2 linked regions of the Callithrix jacchus genome follow. The protein of the gene in region 2 interacts with the protein of the main gene of each other region in a pairwise test. Links are inferred from orthologs where the notes say so. Each region holds a gene or a part of one and is shown on either strand. Other genes may lie near its edges.

What was found.
Region 1: the proteins of CCDC172 (region 2) and FAM13C interact in binary tests that used the Homo sapiens proteins (3 or more experiments, as listed by UniProt). The two-hybrid records come from large-scale screens. The link is inferred for Callithrix jacchus from reciprocal best matches to the Homo sapiens genes CCDC172 and FAM13C.

The regions. Positions count from the first base shown.
Region 1 is NC_133513.1:71,262,895-71,273,242, reverse strand, and holds the end of FAM13C (protein FAM13C), read right to left. Parts: intron 9,862-10,348; coding exon 9,760-9,861; intron 5,884-9,759; coding exon 5,760-5,883; 3' UTR 4,287-5,759; downstream 1-4,286. Other genes in the region: PHYHIPL (phytanoyl-CoA hydroxylase-interacting protein-like), read left to right, coding at 3,218-3,752.
Region 2 is NC_133513.1:109,272,795-109,283,839, reverse strand, and holds the start of CCDC172 (coiled-coil domain-containing protein 172), read right to left. Parts: upstream 6,681-11,045; 5' UTR 6,596-6,680; intron 6,148-6,595; 5' UTR 6,083-6,147; coding exon 6,004-6,082; intron 5,793-6,003; coding exon 5,707-5,792; intron 1-5,706.

The DNA.
Region 1 (10,348 bases), about 38 Mb from region 2:
ATTCACTGAGATTGGTAGACATGTAGGAATGTCTCTCATTCTGGTGTCAGATTGTATATTCCCAAAGTGCAGCTTCTAGTACACATTTTGTTTATATATTTGTTGCTATTATTTCATGTCATTGCACTTATAGATCCAGGTAGGACACATATAATATAGATATTTGGGTTTTGTTAATCAGAATGTAACAAGGGTGAGAAATTTTGAATGGGGACAAAAGGGAGTAGACACTCTTTTCCCTATTTCTCCCACTAAATACAACTAAAAGCACTGGACATTATATATAAAATAAATATAAGAAAACTAAGGGGGAAAGAAGATGTATCAGCTAGGGACCTTTGGGATTCAACAGCACAGTGGTGAGTTCCTTGGGTTTTCTTTTAACCTCTTACATTCTGGACTAGGTGCTGGAGTATCTGGCAACACAGACATGCCAGTTGGTACAAACAAAAAAAAAGAACACCAGAAAGTATGTTTGTTTATGCACAGGATCAGGAAAGAAACTGAGGTCTTCCAATACAGAAACCTTTTGGACAATAACTGCCATACTCCAGGCAAACACTGTAGAAAAAAAAAAAACTGTAGTCCCCCATCTACCAGCCAAGGCTAAGAGGGGAACCTAAACCTCTACCCTCTCACATCTATAAGGGGACACCCCCCTCTCTCTACCCTCTGCTAGGGTGGTATCAGAGAAGGCTGAATAGGGAGACTGGATTTTCCACCATTGCCCGGAGACAATGAGGGTTGCCTTCATAGTTTGTGAAACCTACATGTCAAGTAGTAATGAGACACCCCTTCTCTCTCTGGCCTATAGTATGTAAGCACAGGCCTAGTGGGAGTCTAAACTCCTATCTCCTCCAAGTAGTAACTGAACCCCCTAGCCTGTGTCACTGGAGACTGAGTAGGAAACCTGGACTTTTATCCCCATCAACATCAATTAAGTGACTACCCCATACTCTTCACCCATTGGTAGTCAAGAAGAGGACTGCTAAAATACTAGATTTAAATAAGATCCAGAATATAATAACATAATATGTCCAGGATACTAATGGAACTCATGCATCACACCAAGACCCAGGAAAGTCTTAACCTGAATGAGAAAAGATGATAAAAGATACCAAAACCAAAATAATGCAGATCTTAGAATTATCTGACAAAGATATTTAAGCAGGCACCATAAAAATGGTTCAACAAGCACATACTAACACATTTGAAGCAGCAAAGAAAGAGAAGGTATAAAGAACTAAATGAAAAATTTGGAACATAAACACACAGTAAGTAAAGTAAAAAGCTGGATAGATTCCATGCGTTCCACAGCAGATTCAAGAGGACAAAGAAAAAAACCAGTAAACTTCTTGAAGATAGAATAGAAATTACCTAAATTGAACAACAGAGATAAAACTCACTGAAAAAAAAAATATATCAGTCTTATGGACTTGTGAGACTAAGTCAAGAAGGAAAGGAGAAGGAGGGTGGGACTGAAAAAGTATTCAAAGAAATAATAGCCAAAATGTTCCCAAATTTGGCAAACAACATAAACATACAGATTCGATCTAAGAAAACCCTAAATAGGGTAAATCCAAAGAAATCCATGCCAAGATACATCACAAACTGAAAACTGAAGACAAAAAAAAACCTTGAAAGTGCTGAGAGAAAAGACACCTTATGTGTAAGGAAAAATAAAACAATTTGAATGACATCATCATCAGAAACTATCTAGACCAAAAGGAAGTGGTATAATATTTTCAAATGCTGAAAGAGCACTGTCAACTGAGAATTCTATATCCAGTGAAAATATCCTTCAAGAATAAAAGGGAATTAAGATATCCTCAGATAAAGGAAAACTAAGAGGATTTGTCAACAGCATATCTATCTTAAAGGAAGTTTCTGAAATAGGAAAGAAGGAAATAATAAAAGAAGGAATATTGGAACATCAGAAGGAAAAAAGAACAGTCCAAGTAAAAGTATGGGGTCACATCCAGAATATCACACTGCATTTATTTGTTATATTTCCTTATTCTCTTAACTGCGACAATTTTTTGGTCTTTCCTTGAATTTGCATAAAATAAGCTCCCTAGCTGGTTTTCAGGTGGTAAATTTAAGATCCATTGCTGCTAAATTCAGAGGTAGATCGAGTGCACATCTCAATGATCCATAAACTCTTTAAGAAGCACGTTGACCCAGGGAACTTTCCCTTGCTTGAGTCGTAGCTTGAACTTTGCCTCCCAAGTCATACTGGTCAGGGAGCCAGCAAAGCAAACAAAAAACAAAACAAAATAAAAAAACCAAGGCACATTTGAGGGATTCTGGAGAGAATTTAACAAAACTACCCATTATAGAGGTGTAGTCAGGGTTAAGATACCAAGTAAGGGATGCTAATGTAACCAAGAACTAGCAGGAATTGAAAAGTTTTACTCTTCTTGGGAATTAAAGGGAGTAGGAACTCATCCAGCAGTAGCAGTAGCAGTAGTCAGGTATACATAGTTATGAAGAACCCAGCCCTGCCAGAAACAGAATGCCCTGAAGCATGGAGGAAATATAGAAAGACACACCAAAGTCTCTATCTCCTCCAACTCTATATATGTTGGTGTCTTACATTCGTAGAACTGAAATGGAAGAGTCCAAGGGATAAGGAACTGAATAAGAGTTCCAGGCCACAGTGGAAGACTGTGGTGGAGAATGAATGGATCTGAGGGTGAGGTAAAGGGGGAATAACCAGCACTGTTCTAAGCAAAATGCCAGAGAAATAACCTGATTAGTAAACCATCCTTGTGTTAAAAAGCCAAAACAAAACACAACACTTTTGTACCAGTATAAATGGACAGGACTCATTTTAAAAACATTCAATATATTTAACTAGCCAATACCTTTAGTTCAGTTTTCCCTTCAAAAAGCCACTTCTGAAACCTAGTTGGCAGTTAATGTATGTATGATTTTACCTGTAAGGTTTCTAAGTCCAGTTTAATTTTTCTGGTGAGGAAATTTATATAATTATGTTAATTTAATGCAAGGTTTGTAGCAGATCATCCTTACCTTAAGGTCAAGGATAGAATTCAGCCATCTATAGGCAATATCAAAAGATGTTGCCCCTTTAGTCTGATAGGAGAGGTATTCAGGCCTTTAACAGTAGATGTTTGACATGTGGGCCATTCAAATATATAAATCAATGGGTTTACCACAATTGTATTAAGCAGTGACCACTTGTTTTCTCTTGCAGAGAACATCATGGGAATGCTATGCAGCCCTCTGTCAAGGATAACAGTGGTAGCCATGGCTCTCCTATCAGTGGAAAATTAGAAGGCATCTTCTTCAGCTGCAGCACTGAATTCAATACTGGAAAGCCACCCCAGGATTCACCTTATGGAAGATACAGGTTTGAGATTGCAGCAGAAAAACTTTTTAACCCCAATACTAACTTATACTTTGGGGACTTCTACTGTATGTACACTGCTTATCATTATGTGATTCTTGTTATTGCTCCTGTGGGATCACCAGGAGATGAATTTTGTAAGCAGCGCCTTCCTCAACTAAATTCTAAGGATAATAAATTTTTGACCTGTACAGAAGAAGATGGGGTGCTGGTTTACCACCATGCCCAGGATGTCATTTTAGAAGTCATTTACACTGACCCTGTGGATCTTTCTCTGGGCACCGTGGCAGAAATCACTGGTCATCAGCTCATGAGTTTGTCTACTGCAAATGCAAAGAAAGATCCCAGCTGCAAAACCTGTAATATCAGTGTTGGACGTTAATGCCCACTCTTCTTATTCTTACTCAGCCCCTTTTCTTCCCTTAGGAGCATTGGTCCTCTGTTGTCCATTTTCATCATCAGATGTTTTCCACTGAAGCATGCACATGCCACTGTCGCCAAAAACAAAATACCACTTTCCAAATTTCATTCAGAGCCATTTTAGTGTTTTCCTATTCCCTACCCCTCCCACTACTTTCAATGATGACATACCCTAAGTTCTTCTGACACTTTATTGCCTAGTTGCTGCAATGTTTTTATGTTTCCTTTATGCCAAACATAACAAAACAGTTATATAGACTGCTTTAGCAAAGTACAAAATAATGGCTTATAAATGGTGTTTAAATATGCATTCATTTTAATCTACTGAATAAATATTGGAATAACTCCAAATCGCATGAAAGGGTGTAATTGCAGCATGAGTTAAATCTTGAAGCCTAGAATTGTCAGCATTTCCAACTCCTTGTTTGACAGTGTTATTTATGTTATTTATATTAGCTAACAGGAAACAACTACTGTGTTATCAACATAATAAATATAATAGAAAAATATTTTATTTGTATTGTTGTATAAAATATTTACAATCATATAGAATATATAGAGTTACATTTTAATAGCAATTGTATACATGTCATGAAATCATTTCCCTTATCAAAGATGTAATTTGTAAACCTCAAATAATTCTGTATCTGTCCTGTTACAAGTAGATGACTTCAATTAAACAAATTTATGAAGGACATTATTCTGATTCATAAAGTTATAAAATATTAGGTAAATACAGAGAAAACAATAAGCCTCTGAAATAGTCTATTTCTGAAATAGTCAATAGTCTTCCCATTAAAACTATAAGAAAATGTGAATTTCTTCAACATCATTCTTAAACATTACAGAAAATAGAAATACAAACATGGTTGCTACATGAGAGAAAATGTTGCCCTTTTACTTCCTTTTACAAAAATGAAAATAATAAACAGGTCTTAGTATAAAATAACACAAAATGATATGCACTAAAGTTGATGAAGCAAATAAATATTCTGGCTTCTTTTCCAAGGTGTCAGGGCAAACAGTTTCCAAATCTTTCATTTTGTACAGATGGAAGAATAACTTCAGCTCATGGGAAATTTTTTGACTTTACAAAGTATATACCTTGCAACATTAAGAAAAATGTATACTCCCAATGAAAAAATAGTTATATAATCTTATAGTAAACAAAAGGATTAGCAGTAATACTATGGTCACATTAGATTATATACTGCAGACACATATCTATCCAAAATACCTATTTTAAATTTTTAATACAATATTTTATTTTAATATAAACATCTGTCAGTTATAGACAAAGATAGTAATTCACAAAGTACATGCTGTCAGAATGAACTTTGGTAACCAGAAATGTAAAATTTCAAATAACAGATAAAATAATGTTATTTTTATAGAGAAATAAAAAAAATTGCAGTGACACAATCTAGTTTATTTTAGGGTACTGAAAGCCTCACAGACTTAAGGGACAAGATAGTAAATGTTTTATCACTCAAAATCCATCAGAAGTTTCAAATAAATTACTTTCTTGCTAGCTGTATTCTTTCCTACCTGAAAAGAAAAATTTGTTTTCTTCCTCTTATTGATTTTTTAAAATCATGCTCTTTTTCATACATCATAAACAATCTTTGGATACTAAAACTTCCCCTAACAAGTGTCCCAGCTATGTTGTTTAGATTTGATAAACTATTAGAAGTTTTTAAAAATAATTATATTGACTGTAAGTTTTCTGCTTGGCATGGAGGACACTGAATTGTTTCCCAATTATATGGCTACCTGTTGTATCCTTCCTTCCATTTAAATCCCTTCTCCTTGTATGTAATTAAACTTGTTAATCCTTCTTAAAAACAGCTAAGACTACAACTAAAGTGCTTCCATCTTCATTGTGTCAGAACTACTTAGCAAGGGTGGCAGAGAAAAATAAACTTGACTTTATATCATGGGTGAAAGTAATCATAACATTTCCTGAACCTCAAATAGTTTTGGCCACATCTTGCTTGCTGATGAGGACCTCTAATAGTCTCAGTTTGGCTTTTATGTGCTTATATTCATAATACTCATCTGCCATTGGTATCCTGTCTTCCTTTTGTGGACTTCTGCAAAAAAAAAAATACGTTTATTAGTTCACAATGAATCCAGTCATTAAATATTCTTTTACAATTCAAATATGAAAAAGCATATTGTAACAGCTTCCACTTGGTTTTTGCATCATATCTTCTTTTACTTCCCTTTCACTTTCATTCACTCTCTCTTCCATGTGTTTAAGTTTCTAAATAATAGTAACCTTTGAAAACTTGAATGACATAAGTGTTTTGAAAATTTGTGGTCCAGTGCATAGACTTACAACAATGGGGTAAGTGAAAAGATCTAAGGGGAAATAAACAAACAAAAACCAAAACTTTCAAGGCATTCTTTGTCCAGTCATTCTCCCACTATCTGTCACAGTCCTATACTTGTACAAAATGTTCAGCCCTAATAGAGTGGTTAAAAATATTAACCTGAAAATACTACATAAATTACATTTTAAAAATAATTTAATAACTTATGGTAACAAGAAAAGCATTCAGGGTCTCTCTTACAAATTTGAAACATTTCCAGACTTTCTTGTAATTATAATACCTGTGTCTGCTAATATATAGTAGAACCACTGATCTGTTCCTTAATTGAAGTAATTTATGAGAATCTACATTGCAGTGGTTCTCTTCTGTACACTAATTCTACTAAGGCTAAACATGTAACAATGCATAGATTTTTATACATATGCAGTATGCGCTTGCTGTTGACTTAGATGAATACCTTGGTAACATGAGGAGTTAAAACCATTTGCCTTCCCACAAAAATATGTTGTCAGAATGTTTTCTAAAGGAAATAATTGCGACAGGGTCTCAAAAGTCTCTTGTTTTTTGGTTAATAAGATAGCAAATTGTTTTGAAAACGTTTGCACCCATGACTTTGAAATTTAAGGAGTTGAGGACACGGATATAGTCACTACAATTACAACTGAATATAACCACAAATACTGTCTAATATTACTATGGCTGAAACCAGGTAAATAGCATATATTTAATGTTTTACCTTTACCCCTTTCTATTTTTCCAATAGTGATAAAGAGATATTTCTATCTCTTACCAAATAAAAAACAAGCTAATCTATACAGATTGTCTATGAATGTAGTATCTACTTGTATTTCATAACTATTTATTGCCCTGCAATTTCTAGTACAGAACTCAGAACAGTATACAAATCCATAGAAAGCATTCTTCTTAACTATTGTCTAAATTATATAACATAAATCCTTTACCTTCATTCTGTGTTATGAGTCAAACTTATCATAACTGGGTGTCTGAATACCATCTTAATTTCTATAAATAAATCTAAGTAAAGAAATTTCCTAATTATTACAGAGAACCATTAATAATGCATTATGTAATTTTCCCTAGTTTTACATATTCCATTTTGGTTAATAAGAGTGCTTTGACACGAATGAAAAGTTTTGCTAAGTCTTTCCTGAAGCAGTTTCCCCATTATATAAAACATACTGATGTGCTTACCACAGTGGCAGGCTCATAATTATTAATAATAATGTAATATCTATATGATTCTCATGCCTCTTCTATGGCAAATATTACCAAGAACATTTACAGTGTCTTAAACATTTTAATTCATTTGCATAGTTATTTTACCTTATGGATAGTTAGGCCTTCCCAGTGAAATGTCTTAGATAAAGAAAATTAAGGTCCATAATTCCTAGCCATTCAATGGTTTGATTTTAGTTGTAAAAGATCATCATTTGTGCATTTAGTTGAAATATGTCACCACAAAGGGGCATAAACTTCAAAGCCAAATATAGGCTTATCTGACTTGGGCTTAGGACTCATAGGTCATTACATAATGGTAAAAGGATCAATGCAACAAGAACAGCTGACGATCCTAAATATATACGTACCCAATACAGGAACACCCAGATACATAAGACTTATAAAGAGACTTAGACTCCTACACAATAATAGTGGGAGACTTCAACATCAATATTAGATAGATCAACAAGACAGAAAATTAACAAGGATAACCAGGACTTGAACTTAGATCCGGAACAAGTAAACTTAATAAACATTTATAGAACTCTCCACTTTAAATACATAAAATATACACTCTTATCAGTACCACATCACAGCCACTCACAGGTTTAAATGAAATATTGGTTGGCTACTTGTTTGTTATTTTCTTCCCTCATTAAAAAAAAAAAAAAGGACTCATACTTGCAGTGTCAGTTATGTTCTATACTATGCATAGAACATAACTAACTTCCCTTTATGACCAAAAGCATACTAAGTGACACTGCAGATCCACTAGGCAGGACTAGTAGCACACTGGGAGGTTCTCAGACCCCTTAAGATAGATTCCTGGGTTCAAACTGGTAAAAATATAAATTTATTCAAAGAACTCAAATTTATGAAAATAATGTATGCACATCTTAAAGTATCATTTATCATATGTAATGACTGTTTGATTTAGAATATTTGATAACATCTCCACAAATATTTCCCTGAATGAAAAATTCCCATAACATACCATTAATCCAAAAGAGGCAGATATCAAGGACTTTATAGTGCAAGTTACATATTTACCCAAATATAGCAGACAGTCCAGAAAAAATTATTACTCAAAGGAATGTTTTGCAAGGAAAGTTACATGAACATTTTATAAAAGAAAAAAGTATGGAAAAAGTAAATTAGTAACAAATGCTTTATATTCTAAATTTATGAGCCACATACCATTTCTCACTAGATTAGTTAACATCACCAAAAAGGTAAGTTGGACTTGTAGCAATCAACTTCAAGATTACAGATAGAAAGTAAGTTGTTACATCTGTATTTGCTGAATGCAAAGAGCTTTTCACTCAATAGGTCCAGTCCTAAAGAATATCCCTGGCAGGCTAACATGGAAAACCTGCCAGGGACTAAGAGGTGAGTAGACCAAGCTTGAGAGTTTCAAGGTGCTTTGGGAAAATAGTCCCTTTCCTTGAGGACAACTCTCAGCCTGCTGAACTGAAAGGTCAAATACAATACCTAAATGGAGATGAATACAGAGAAGCCAGTGTAGCACTGATAAGTTTATGACTTGAATGATGAGTTTAATGTCATGTTATCTACTTAGTAACTTGTGGCTGTGGGAAAGTTACACTCTAGATTTATTTATTTTTTTAAAGATTGTTATCTCACGTGACAGCTGTAGCTTCCCAAAGTATTCTAGGAGTCCAGTCATTTCAGCTTATAAAGTGGGAACTGAGGCTCAAGATAACTTAAGTAATTTATCTCTCTTCCAAAAGTGGATCAATAACCCTTATCTCCCAATTATGTATGTAATTTTGTTGTTGATACATACACCAAAAATTAGAGGAAACTAATAGAGTGTATAATGAGACTTGGGTTTACACAGAAAAGTAGAGGAGAGATGATAAAGCTAACCATTTATTTAAGGGGTAGAAAGAATGACTATGAATTTTTTTATCAAGTCTTGAAATCAAATAATTAGGGACAGATCTTGACTTCTAAGGAAGACATTTAAAGCAAATAAGGAATTATTATTTAATAAAGTAGGGAGTAACTTGCAGAACTGAGAAACCAACAACAAAGCATTATGTAGGCTAAAAAAAATGAAAATAGATTTTTTAAAGGTTTAAATAAATCCATTTATTTATGATGAGATTTATTGCGCAAACTTAGAGATTTTTAGAGTTTATCCTTTATTTTTTACAGATTGACGTCATGCTTGACAGCTGCCATGTCCCATAAAACATCCCTAATATTGGCACTATCAGAATGTTGGATTGAACAAATCCTGAGTCTAAGCTAGTGTGGGAATTATATACATTTCATAAAAAGTCACTGTTGCTGCCAAAAAATTGCAGTTCATTATTAACAATAATTCTCTAGGAAGTAGGCTTTAAAAGTCTCTCTGCCCACACGCACCTTCCTGTTTGTTTAAAAAACTGTTCTTCAAATTCTCTTAAGGCTTTCCGCAGTCTCTTCTTGTCAGCCCTGGTTTCTCGGAGATGGTCAAGAAGTACAGGCCTGAAGGGGAAATAGAGGCAGCAAACCACCAAGTTATGTATGCACCTATGCAACAACCCTGCATGATCTGCATATGTACCCCAGAATGTAAAGTAAAAAAAAAAAGAAGAAGAAGTACAGGCCTATAGAAGGTAAAATATTTGCCATTACTGAGCATTGGCATAGTTGAGAGATCATCATAAGCAGATTTATCTGTTGAGCCAAAAAAGCATACTATGATTAAAAGGTGCTCCGATCATAAGAGTGTTTTTTAAGTAAATATGACACACAAAATCATGTCCATAGGCAAGTACACAAGCAGGGAAAACTACCCGATGGAAAACATATCACAGGATAGGGGAAAGGACAGACAAGAGGCAAGCACATTGAGTCCACTGAAAGAAGTTGTAAGGGTAACAGCAATATAGATGGATGAGGTAAGGAATATTTTGAAGGAATACTCAGCAGCATTTGGTGATAGACTGGATGTAAGAGATATAGAGGAACA
Region 2 (11,045 bases):
GAATTTAACATAAAAACTGGTCCGGAACACAGGAAATCTGTGAGGCCCCGGCAGCAGGGGTGAAACTGCTTCTTAGGGACATCTTTTCTATCAAACGAATGTGTTGAACTGCCAAGAAAGATAAGGTCTGCTAAAGATAAGTTCAGTAAAATAAAAGCAATAAAAAAACTTAAAAGTTCAAAAGAAAATCTACCACCATGTAAGAAAGGTGTCAAATCAAACAAGTAGAATTCAAAGCAGAGGAAATAGAAAATAGATAACTCTATGAGAAAAAGTTTAAATTAATTTATTCATTCACCAAATGTTTGTTTAATAACTACTATTATTCAGGCACTGTTCTAGATGCTGGGAATAGAAGCAGTGAACAAAATGGATTCATTTTTATCCCTTGTGGAGTTTACATTCCAATGGAGGGAGACAAATAATAAACAGGTCAATATGAAATATGCCAAGAGGTGGTATCACACAGCATAGAGACAGAGTGAGATGGTAATGCTATTTTATATAGGAAGATCAGGAAGTAGCCTCTACAGAAATGGCGGTCTCAAATTTTTGGGTCTTTTCAACTCATCATAGTCTAAAAAATAATTAAGAATTTCTTTTTGGTTGATTGTTTTCATGAGTTATATCTAGTAATATTTTCTGTATCAAAATTAAAACTGAAAAATTTTAAAACACTAATTTATGAATAACAACAATAATCCTATTGCATTTTAAAGATCATATTTGTATTTTAAAATGGCTTTCCAAAACAAAAATAAATTTTAAAAAGGAGCTGCATATAGATTTTTTACAAATCTCATTAACACCCGGCTTAATAAAAAAACAGCTGGAAACAGATGTGGTGTTTCAAGCCTGTAATTTCAAAACTTTGAGAGACTGAAGTGGGAGGATCACTTGAGGCCAAAAGTTTAAGACCAGTCTAGGCAACACAGCAAGATCCTGTCTCTACAAAATAATTTTTTTTTTCAATTAGCAGGCAGGGTGGCACAGGCCTGTAGTCCCAGCTACTCAGGAGGCTGAAGCAGAAGGATCACTTGAGGCCAGGGGTTAGCTGTTATTGTGCCACTGAGATCCAACCTGGGTGACAGAGTAAGACCCTATCTCGTAAAAATAAATAAATAAAAACAAATTAAAAATTAAAAAGAATACAGCTGGACTCCCATTTCTGCTTCTAGTCAATCTTTTGTATTGTTTTTCAGTTGGAGAATATGGAGTGCATGGGTATATAGTTGGAAATGATTGTGCATATTCTTTGTTACTACATCAAAATTCACCATGTGGTAATTCCTTAAAGATTAGTTGCAATGTGGAATCTGAAACCATTTCAATGAACTTTTCATTCTGTGTTGAAATACAATCCTTTGGTCTATCTTGCATTTTAAGTCTCTCTGTCATCCATGCAGAGTTTTGTAACTTTATGCATTACTTACTCCTTCCCTGAATTATGTAGATCCTCCCAATGTTGATATATTTCATAATATGCTTTCAAAAGTAACATTCTGAAACATTTTGAAACATAATGTTTCAAAAGTAGCATTCATATTCATTAATATCACTAACGAACTCACCAGAAAAATCTTTTAAGTACCAGGATGCTGCCAAGCTGATGGTAACAGATAGATAGTAATCCTCCAAAATTCTAATTTTTGTTTGAAAGCTTGTATATTATCATTGGCAAAATAAGAAGAATGTCAGATGTTTGCCTTGACATTTTAGGCTTACTTCATTTGTTTTTTAGAGAATTTTGCCAAACACCCAAATCTAAATAACTACAATTTGACTGTCAATTATCTAAGTAAAAATGGTGTTTCAGAAAAAGAATAGCTGGCTCATACTGCATCTCAAACAACTGCACACATGCTCTCGCTTGAGATAATCGTTGTACTTCAGAATATAGAAGTACTTTAGCTGTGCTTCCCATGTAATCATACACAATGTTGAAAACACATACACTCAACCATCGGTTTCAATAATATTAACATTTTTGACACTACAATCAAAGCATTAAATAAAACTAGAGGTTTTTGTTTTCTTACTGAGAATGCATGGCAGTGTAGAATACAATGACTACTAGTACAGTCTGGTGCCAGTGCCTCGATTTATGTTAAGGTGCTAACACTGTTACTCACCACTGCTTTTGCACTGTTAATGTGTGCATTAGCACAGTGAAAACGGCACATGGTGCCTTTGTATAATATTATCATGAAAATAGCTTGACCTTACAAACTCCCTAAAAGTGTCCTGAGGACTCCTTTGAATTCAGAGATCACACTTTAAGAATAATGCTCTAGGGTGACAACTGAGACCTAGGCTAACAACCGTCAAGATTTGCATGGGACTATCCTAGTGTTAGCACTAAAAATCTCACATGATTCTACTGGGAGAGATCTAAATGAAGTGAGTGAGCATGACAGAATAACAGCTATGGGAATCAGCATTTCAATTAGAGGAAACAGCAAGTGCAAAGGCCCTGGGGTCAAAGAATGATTGGCATATACCTATATAAAAAAAAGCCCAGAACAAAGGTTCACACCCCTAAAACCCTGACTGTCCTCAAGAAGGTGAGCTACTGGACAATGTCTAATAAAATACTCAAAGGACACTCAGTGACCTCGTTTGCCTGTTTCCAAGTTTTGGATAATTATTCATGACAAATGTGATAGCCTTTCTTTATAGAATTTCATTAAAAAATGAAAGTAAGTTTTTTTCTTTAAATGAGAACATCAAAAATTTTGAGTTTACAGTTAGGTTTATACAGTTGAAGTTGCTTGACGTCAATCCTGTAATTCCGGAAGGAAGGTGTTATATAATTTATTTGCCAAGTATTCATAGTGTGATTTAGCAGTTGTTCAATGAAATGTTTGTTGAATGAATAACTGTCAACAATAAAATTAAATTTAGGTAGGGTCTAAATTTTTCAATTAAGTGTAAAGAAAGAAAAAAGCACTCCAATTACAAAACTCCATTTCAATATTATAAATGATAGTAATTTGTGATTTTGTTCTTTCTCTAATTAGGTAACACAGTACCAAAGGATATGACTTTGCCTGCTGTTCTGGGAGGCTTCCTAACTTTTACCAATTAAAAAAAAAGAACACATACATATTGAGGCAAAAAAGTAAGTGGAGCCACCTTAAGTTACTTTTTTATTTCAATATAATTTTCCTTTACAAATTCATGAAATATTATTTTATTATTGTTATGGTGTTTATACAACAAGTTAAAATTGGAAACAGAAAAAAATAAATAAAATATTCACAAAATAGCCTCAGATTGTCCTCCATTTACTCCCTCTTAGGGAATATGGCATTATATTGGGTTTAATGTAATATGTTTATAAAAATTAAATGTCAAAATTATAATTATATGCCATTTTTTAAAAATAGAAGAACCTCTCTTAGATATTTAAAAGAAACTACCAATGTTCTTTGAGTCCTTAATTTTGGTTTGCCATCATCAATACTACACAACCTTTCCTCGACTATCAGAAGTTTTAGGTATATTGGGAAGCATGAATGAAAATCCAGAGCATGTTCTCATTTTTCTGTTTTCATATTACCAAATGTAACCAGGCATAGTGTAGCTGTCCAGTTCATAAAGTACTCATACTATATAACTTGAGACTTTTGCAACCATATATTTTAAAAGACTCATTGAGCCCTGCAAGGCAAATGCTATCATTCAAGTTCTAATTACATGCTATCCGGATTTTACAGAAAAGAAAAAAATGAATACTGTACTTCCGAAATACATTTATTGACCAGAAGCAACATCCAAAATAAATGCCCCCAAAATTTTCTGAATGTATCCCTGTACCATAGCTCAAGTACTGCTGAATTCAAATTAAGTTCTACTAACAATTTCTCCTTCTGCTGCTGCCATTTGATAAATGGGTCAATAAATGCCAAGTAAATATATTTTCATTGTTATTGGCAGACATATAATTAACTCAGAATAAAAGAAACAAGAAATCAATTTAGGCTTACATCTTCAGTTCTTCCATTAGTCATTTGCATTATAATTGTGGTTCTACTTTTAATTCTTTATGCACATATAAATACCATCTTGACTATAATTATAAATCGAACTATTCAATTATAAATTAGTATTGTATGAACTGTGAGCCTCATCTGTTAATTTTGTTAGATACAAATGTATTATTACCCACATATATGAGCTGGTTAAAAAGCAATGCATGCTTATGATATTAATTAGAAATTTCAACAAATGTTTCTAAACAATGGTAGGCATTTTCTCCGAATGATAGCTACAAATTATATTTTCAAAGACTCTCCCTATTATCTATCAAACTATTAGTACTAATTAATTCTTTCAACACACTACTGTATATGATATACTAAGTGTTAGATAACAAGCAGTGGGAATAAAAGATGGATAAGGAAAAAATTCCACATATGTTGCTCACAAAATAGTGGGGGATGCAAACACAAATACAGGTATGTATCATTTTACCAAGATGTCTATGGGAAGGCTTTATTGGTCATGTTTGAGCAACACCTGGAAAGAAGAGCTGATGGAGAAATGTTCGCTGGATGGAGTAATGTTCTCTGATTATTTCATTCTCAAAGAAATCTGAAAATTCCCCACAGTGGTAAGCTAAAATAGATATATTTGAAGCAAAAAAACTTCCTCAAACAGACTTCACATTACACATTGCTTGTTTAGTTCATCATTGGTTATTTAATAAATAATTTTGAATAACTCTGTCCCCACCCATAGCAAGGTCTTCATTGTGGCACACTTAAATAATGTTCTTTGCTTCCTAATAATCTATTCCCATCTTGACAATCAGAGGTCAGAAAGATCTTCCTAAAGCTACCTTTTTTTTTTAAATACGAGGTCTCCCTATGTTGCCCAGGATGGCCTTAAACTCCTGGGTTCAAACTGTCTTCTCACTTTAGCCTCCTAAGTAACTGGAACTAAAAGCACATGCCACCATACTGGGCTACCTAAAACCACTTTTACTGTTCCCCGATCAGAAATTTGCAGTGGTTTTCTGCTATTCCCAGATATCAGCCCTCTGGTTTGACTAGATTCCTTTAACATACGCACTGGATCATATTTGCCTCCTCTCTGTCTGGAATGCTTTTCTCCTGCTACTTCCTTCTGTTTGCCTCTTCAAAAATTCTATCCACCCTTCAAAATCCTCCTTCAAAAGCCATCAGACTCTCTTGCTTCTATTTAAAATAACAGAACTTTACAAACACTGCAGGAAAGAGAGGAATGCTAGTGGAAAACATAGTTTGGATGCCAGGCATGTCTAAAATGTGGCAGAGAATTTTAAAACAAAAGGCAGGGGCTTGTTTTGAAAGTTACATACAATTGTTATATCAACGTAGCACACAAATTATCATTCAAAATGTATATACTGCACCTACTTTTTAAGTAACATAATGATTCTTCTAATGACATTGTGCTCTTTTAAAACCTTAACCATCCCACAAAATAAACAACGAATTCTTCATTACCTTAGATTCTTTAGGGCAAATTCATATTGGAACTGAAGGGGTCACTGGATTCAGAACTTTCAACATTACCAGGCAACATGGAACTAAAACAGCCAGCACAAAAGTAGTGTGCTTCCTACCTGAAGGACAGCTGGTTAAACAGTGAAATATCCCCAAAAGTCAAGTGAAGGCAGGCTTTCTCAAGTAATAATTAGTATGCTCTACATTTCAATACCTTAGATTCCAGCTCGATTTTCTCTTCATTCAGCTTCTCCGTTGCTTTCTCAATTTTTTCACGACATCTGGTTATTTCCAACCTCACTATAACAAAAATTAAATTTTTAAACACATAGATCTTTCTAAAGTCCGATGTTGGCGGCGTTTGAGAAGCCACCTTTCAGCTGTCTTTCCCTCAGCATGACAAGCAAGCTCCCCTAAGGGCTCTGACCACTGCCTACGGGATTTCCTTCTGCTCCAAGCACCCAGCACCAGAAGACGAAAGGCCCCATGCAAAGGACAGAAATCCCCCGACCTTCTCGCATCAAACGGCGACTCTCCTCCGCTTGATGCTCGGTGAAGATGATGTGCTGAAACAGGGACTCCAAGCTCATCTCAGGGCCTGGCTCCTGCGATCCTTTTCTCTCCCTTCAAGATTTTATGACCAACCCTGAGGATCCTGGAAAGCACAATAAAGAAGATGGAGTCTTCTAGAACTATTCCCAGATAGGCCTTTGTCCAACTCTCGGTCGCCGGCCCAGCAAGAAGATGGAGCCGACGCCGGACGGAGTCTGCGGGGTCTGAGGGTCCAGGGACGCCGGCCGCTGCCGCCCCTTCCTGCCCTCAGCCTTGGTTTCCCGTTACAGTTTACAAACCGGGCTTTTCTCCCTCACGCCCTAAGAGGGCAGGTTCAAGGTCTGCCTTTTTCCCTGGTGGAACCCCTGACGCAGGCCCCCGTCCCCCTACGGGTTTGTCTTCGCTTTGGTGGCAATAAAAATAGCAGACCTTGGCTTTTGAGGGCGTGTGGGCAACAGCCCTTTCTGTAGTCAGCCCTTTAATCCCAGTCCTCTCTCATTTTAGGGATAATGTCCTCAAAGTGCTCTGTCTTTAAGCAAAATGATACTTGCCAACAAAACCCGGGGCCAAAACCTTCCGTATGCCAAGGGCCAGCGCCTCAGGTCCAGCTTTGCCTGTGAGAACCTAAACTACGGCGGCTCGTTTGGCCCATCCTGCGGTCAGCGGGTTTGCCCTGGGCACGTGAGCCCCGAAGGTCTTAGGCCCAGTTGCAGTTGAGATGCTCGGTATCCAAGGCATAAATACCCAATATTATAAAGCACAGAGTAACTATGATTCTAAATATAAACTTGCACAAAGTCTTTTCCTTTGACGATGGCAAAGACTGCTATAAATGTGCAATGTCTGACATTCCGCCTTAATCATTCCTTTGTAATCAGGGCATATCTTTTTTGTCTGCTTTAAAATTAATCATTGCCTTTTGTAATCAAGCTGCAGTAATATTAACACTTCAATATCTGCGCAATATGTGTCAGAGCACAAAGTGGTTGCTAATTAAAGCTTAAACATGAAAGGCACCTTTGGGACTTTTGCGTGGGATTTTTTTAAATCAAAAATTAAAATATTTTTAGTTTTAGTAGGTTGAAATACTGACATTATAATAAACATTTGACTTTATTTTTGAATGTAAAATTGACGTTGGTTGAACTTTAAAAAGTAATTTGTTAGAATTTATTTAAAATTAAGTAAAATAAACGTTTGACTTTATTTCTGAATGTAAAATTGATGTTGGTTGCACTTTAAAAAGTAATTTGCTAGAATGTGTTTAAAATTAAGTAAAATAAGGTAAATGTTAATTCTGCCACCTCACAATAGGCTTAATTAATGTTTCATTAATGATGTAGTCTAATCAGTTATGCATTTTAACTTATTCCAAATTTCCACCTTAATTTCCATCAAGCCACATATGCATAAAACTTAATTCTTTGGCTTTATTTTAAAAGAATAAATACTGAAAGGTATACAAAGCAGAAAAGAACTGCCCATAAGCATATTATTTAGAAGTACATATTAACAGTTTACCAATTCTCTTCCAGGTAGCCCTCCTCACTCTTCATTCTTCCTTTATAAACTTGAAATGATTGTGAATCAGTAATAATAATAATTTGTTATTGATTATTTGCCAGGCACTATTTTGAACAATTTATATCCTTTTGAGATGATTTTTGCCATCATCTTCATAGTGTAGTTGAGGAAACTGAGGCACAGAACAATTTAGTATCTTGCCATAGTATGTGGCAGTGAGAACTGAAACCAAGAAATCCGGAATCAGAAGTCATTAATTTAATTTTGGATTTTGTCTTTTTCCCTCTTATTACATTTCAGGCATTTTACCATTTCATCAAAAACTCTTCATAAATGTATTTTTATAACTCACAATCCTCCACCATAGAGAGGCATGTGTAAAATTTAGATATACCGAAATAAATTTGACTCTTATCTGTTCAAGGGTGGAAAACAAAGTTGAAATTGTGGTTTGAACCATTTCCTTTGAGCACTTGTTTGGAGGCTTATAAACTGTACCACAGCGGCCATCAAAGGAAAGGGCTTCCAGAAGATAAATTATATTACTAATTAATATCACTCCCTTCAGAGTTATTTCCCATGGACTTGCACAAGGAATGTCCTCACAAGGAGGCTGGTTTTCAAAAGCATGCTGCTATTTAACATTCCAATTTTATTAGTTACACTCAAATTCACATTTATTATTTAACATGCTCTTTCTGTGCTGAAACTTGGCAGAGTAAAGTTTGGGCAGCCTTTAGGGAGCACAGTTGCCTCACTTACATAGTATGGAAGAGAGAGCTGATGGAAATTCAAGAAAGTGGGTATGGGGAGAAATGGCTCCTTCATCTTCTGTAGTCATCTTCTTCTCATAACAGAATATTTTGGCCCTTTTAAATCCAAAGTTACAATCTTCTTAGAGGTATCAAACTATACACGTTAGCAGTTTTAAATTTTATTTTGTTTGTTGAAGCAAATATGATTTATATGAGCTTGCAACTCAAAGTTTAAGTGTTCCATAATAATAAAAGAGACATATTAAGAAAATTAAACATATTGCTATTGTTTAGGTTTATTTATACATTTTCTGTAGCATTAAGATAGTTTTTCTTATAGATATCCATGCTCATTACATCTTATAATGTTCAGAGCAAGAATAGCATTACTTAAATTTATGCCAGATAAAAATGGTATACAATGTGGTAAAACTTGGGCATACAGTTTTCTGAAAATGTACCTTATAAGTCTACAAAAAAAATGATTCATTCAACAACTGTTTAATGAGTTTCTGCTATTCATTCAACAGATATTATTGAGCATCTTCTATGTGCCGTATTAGAGAAATAACAACAAGATTTAATAAAACAGAACTACATAAAAAAGTATTTTTCTTCCCCTGGATATTTCTAACCTCACTGGAGAATTATTATATTTTTTAGCATTTTGGCAGCCGTATAAACAACTGCTTTCAGATGTCTCAACAGATGTTCTTTAGAAGGAAAGCCAATTATTTGCATTATGATACACAGATATGATTCTCAGACCTAAACTTTCCATCTGTACAAGTTTCATTGAATTGCATACCTATGAATATAAAAGTTAAGATCACTCATTGTCTCTCACCCTCAGACTTTCGTTCATAATAACAGTAGCACCTGGGTTATTGAGCCATTGATAATCGCTTTGCTAGAAGGCCTTATATAAGGCTATATTGCTCCTTTGATTTAAAATGCATTTCCTCTCCTTTCCTAGATTGATGACTTCCCTAAGTTCTAAACCAGGCTTGCAAATACCCACTAGCCACGGCATATATATTGCAATGGAGAGAAGACAAGTAATTCATTTGTTTTATGTTTTGTCTTAGGGCATCTGCCACAAAGAAAAAAATTATGTGGGTTCAACCAAGTTTAACAACCATTTATTGAGGATCTACTAAGTGTAAAATTCTCTGCTGGATACTATGGGGGATACAAAGTTGAAAAGATACAGACCCTACCCTCCTGGAGGTAATAGTCTATCAAATGGGACATAGCATGCACAAATAACTTCGAGGCATGCTGTATTTAAGAGCTTCACCCTTGTGCTGTGGGAACACAGGGGAGGGAGTGAGAATTCTGATGTAGGTGATCTAGGAAGACTATCAGTTGGATATAAAATATGAGCTGAGTTTTAAAGGAGGGTGGTTCTTCAACAAACACAAAGCAATGGAGAAAAGAAGCAGAATGTTGGTTGGGGTCAACATTTTGATGGTGTTTAACATATTTATATACGTGTTGGAGGACTACATAATGTTTGTGATCAGATAAGTGCTGTGTCAAGACTTGTTTTATGCAGCCTATTCACTGTCAAAGTCCAAGGGTGCTATAACAAACAAAATGCTATAAACTAGATAGCTTAGAAACAATGGAAATGTATTACTCATAGTTCTGGGAGCTATGAAGTCCAAGATCAAGGTGCCAGCGAATTCAGTGTCTGGGGAGGGCCCATTTCCTTGTCCATAGAAAGGGTCTTACTGTGTCTTCACATGGTGGGAGGAGCTAACTAGCATTCTGCTGTCTCTTTTATAAGGACACCAATCCTAATCATGAGGGCCTTCAAAAAGCCCCACCACTGAATACCATCACCTTAAGAGTTAGGATTTCAGTGTATGAATTTGGTGTGCGGTAACACAAACATTCAGGCCATAGCAGTTGCTATGAGACAATAACCATGTGAGACTTTGACATCTATTAATTCTTTTAATTGACCCAACAACCATAAGAAATTGATGCTTTTATTATTTTGGAGACTGAGGAGACATAGCCAAGTAACTTGTCCAAGGTCACATACAGTAGCTAGGAAGTAGTGGAATCAGAACTTGAATCCTGATAGTCTCTTAAGGCAAAGGCCTTAACCATTTCACTTTACCCACTCTAAAAACTAGAGGCAGGTGAAAATAAGACCATTTAAGTAACTGTGTTTTGTTTCAAGGTAGATACATTTTCCAAAAAAATGCTTATTACTAACAAATTAATATTTTTTAAAGAAATTTCAGACTTCTAGAATTTGGATTAATAATGCAGTGTATTTGTAATAAATTAAAATAAGATGTGATTTAAGGAAAAATAACTGAGACTGGGTTATGCATTGTTATAAATACTTATTCCACCAACCATAACACATAAAAGTAAAAAAGCAATTCATATGCAAAATATATTTGTTTTCTAATATTTATATTTGTTTCCTGGGGCTGCTATAACAAAGTAACAACAGAGTGTTTTAGAACAGAAATTCATTCTCTCACAGCTCTGGAGACTGAAAGTCTAAAATCAAGGTGTCAACTCAGTTGGTTTCCTGTGGGTGCTTTTAGGGAGAATCTATTCTTTGCCTCTTCCCAGCTTCCAGTGCTTACTGGTCAACCCCAGCATTCTTTGGCTGATAGATCTCACTCCAATCTCAGCCTCTGTTGTCATTTGGAATACTTCCTGTGTGTTTCTGTCTCTTTCTCGTTTCTCCTCT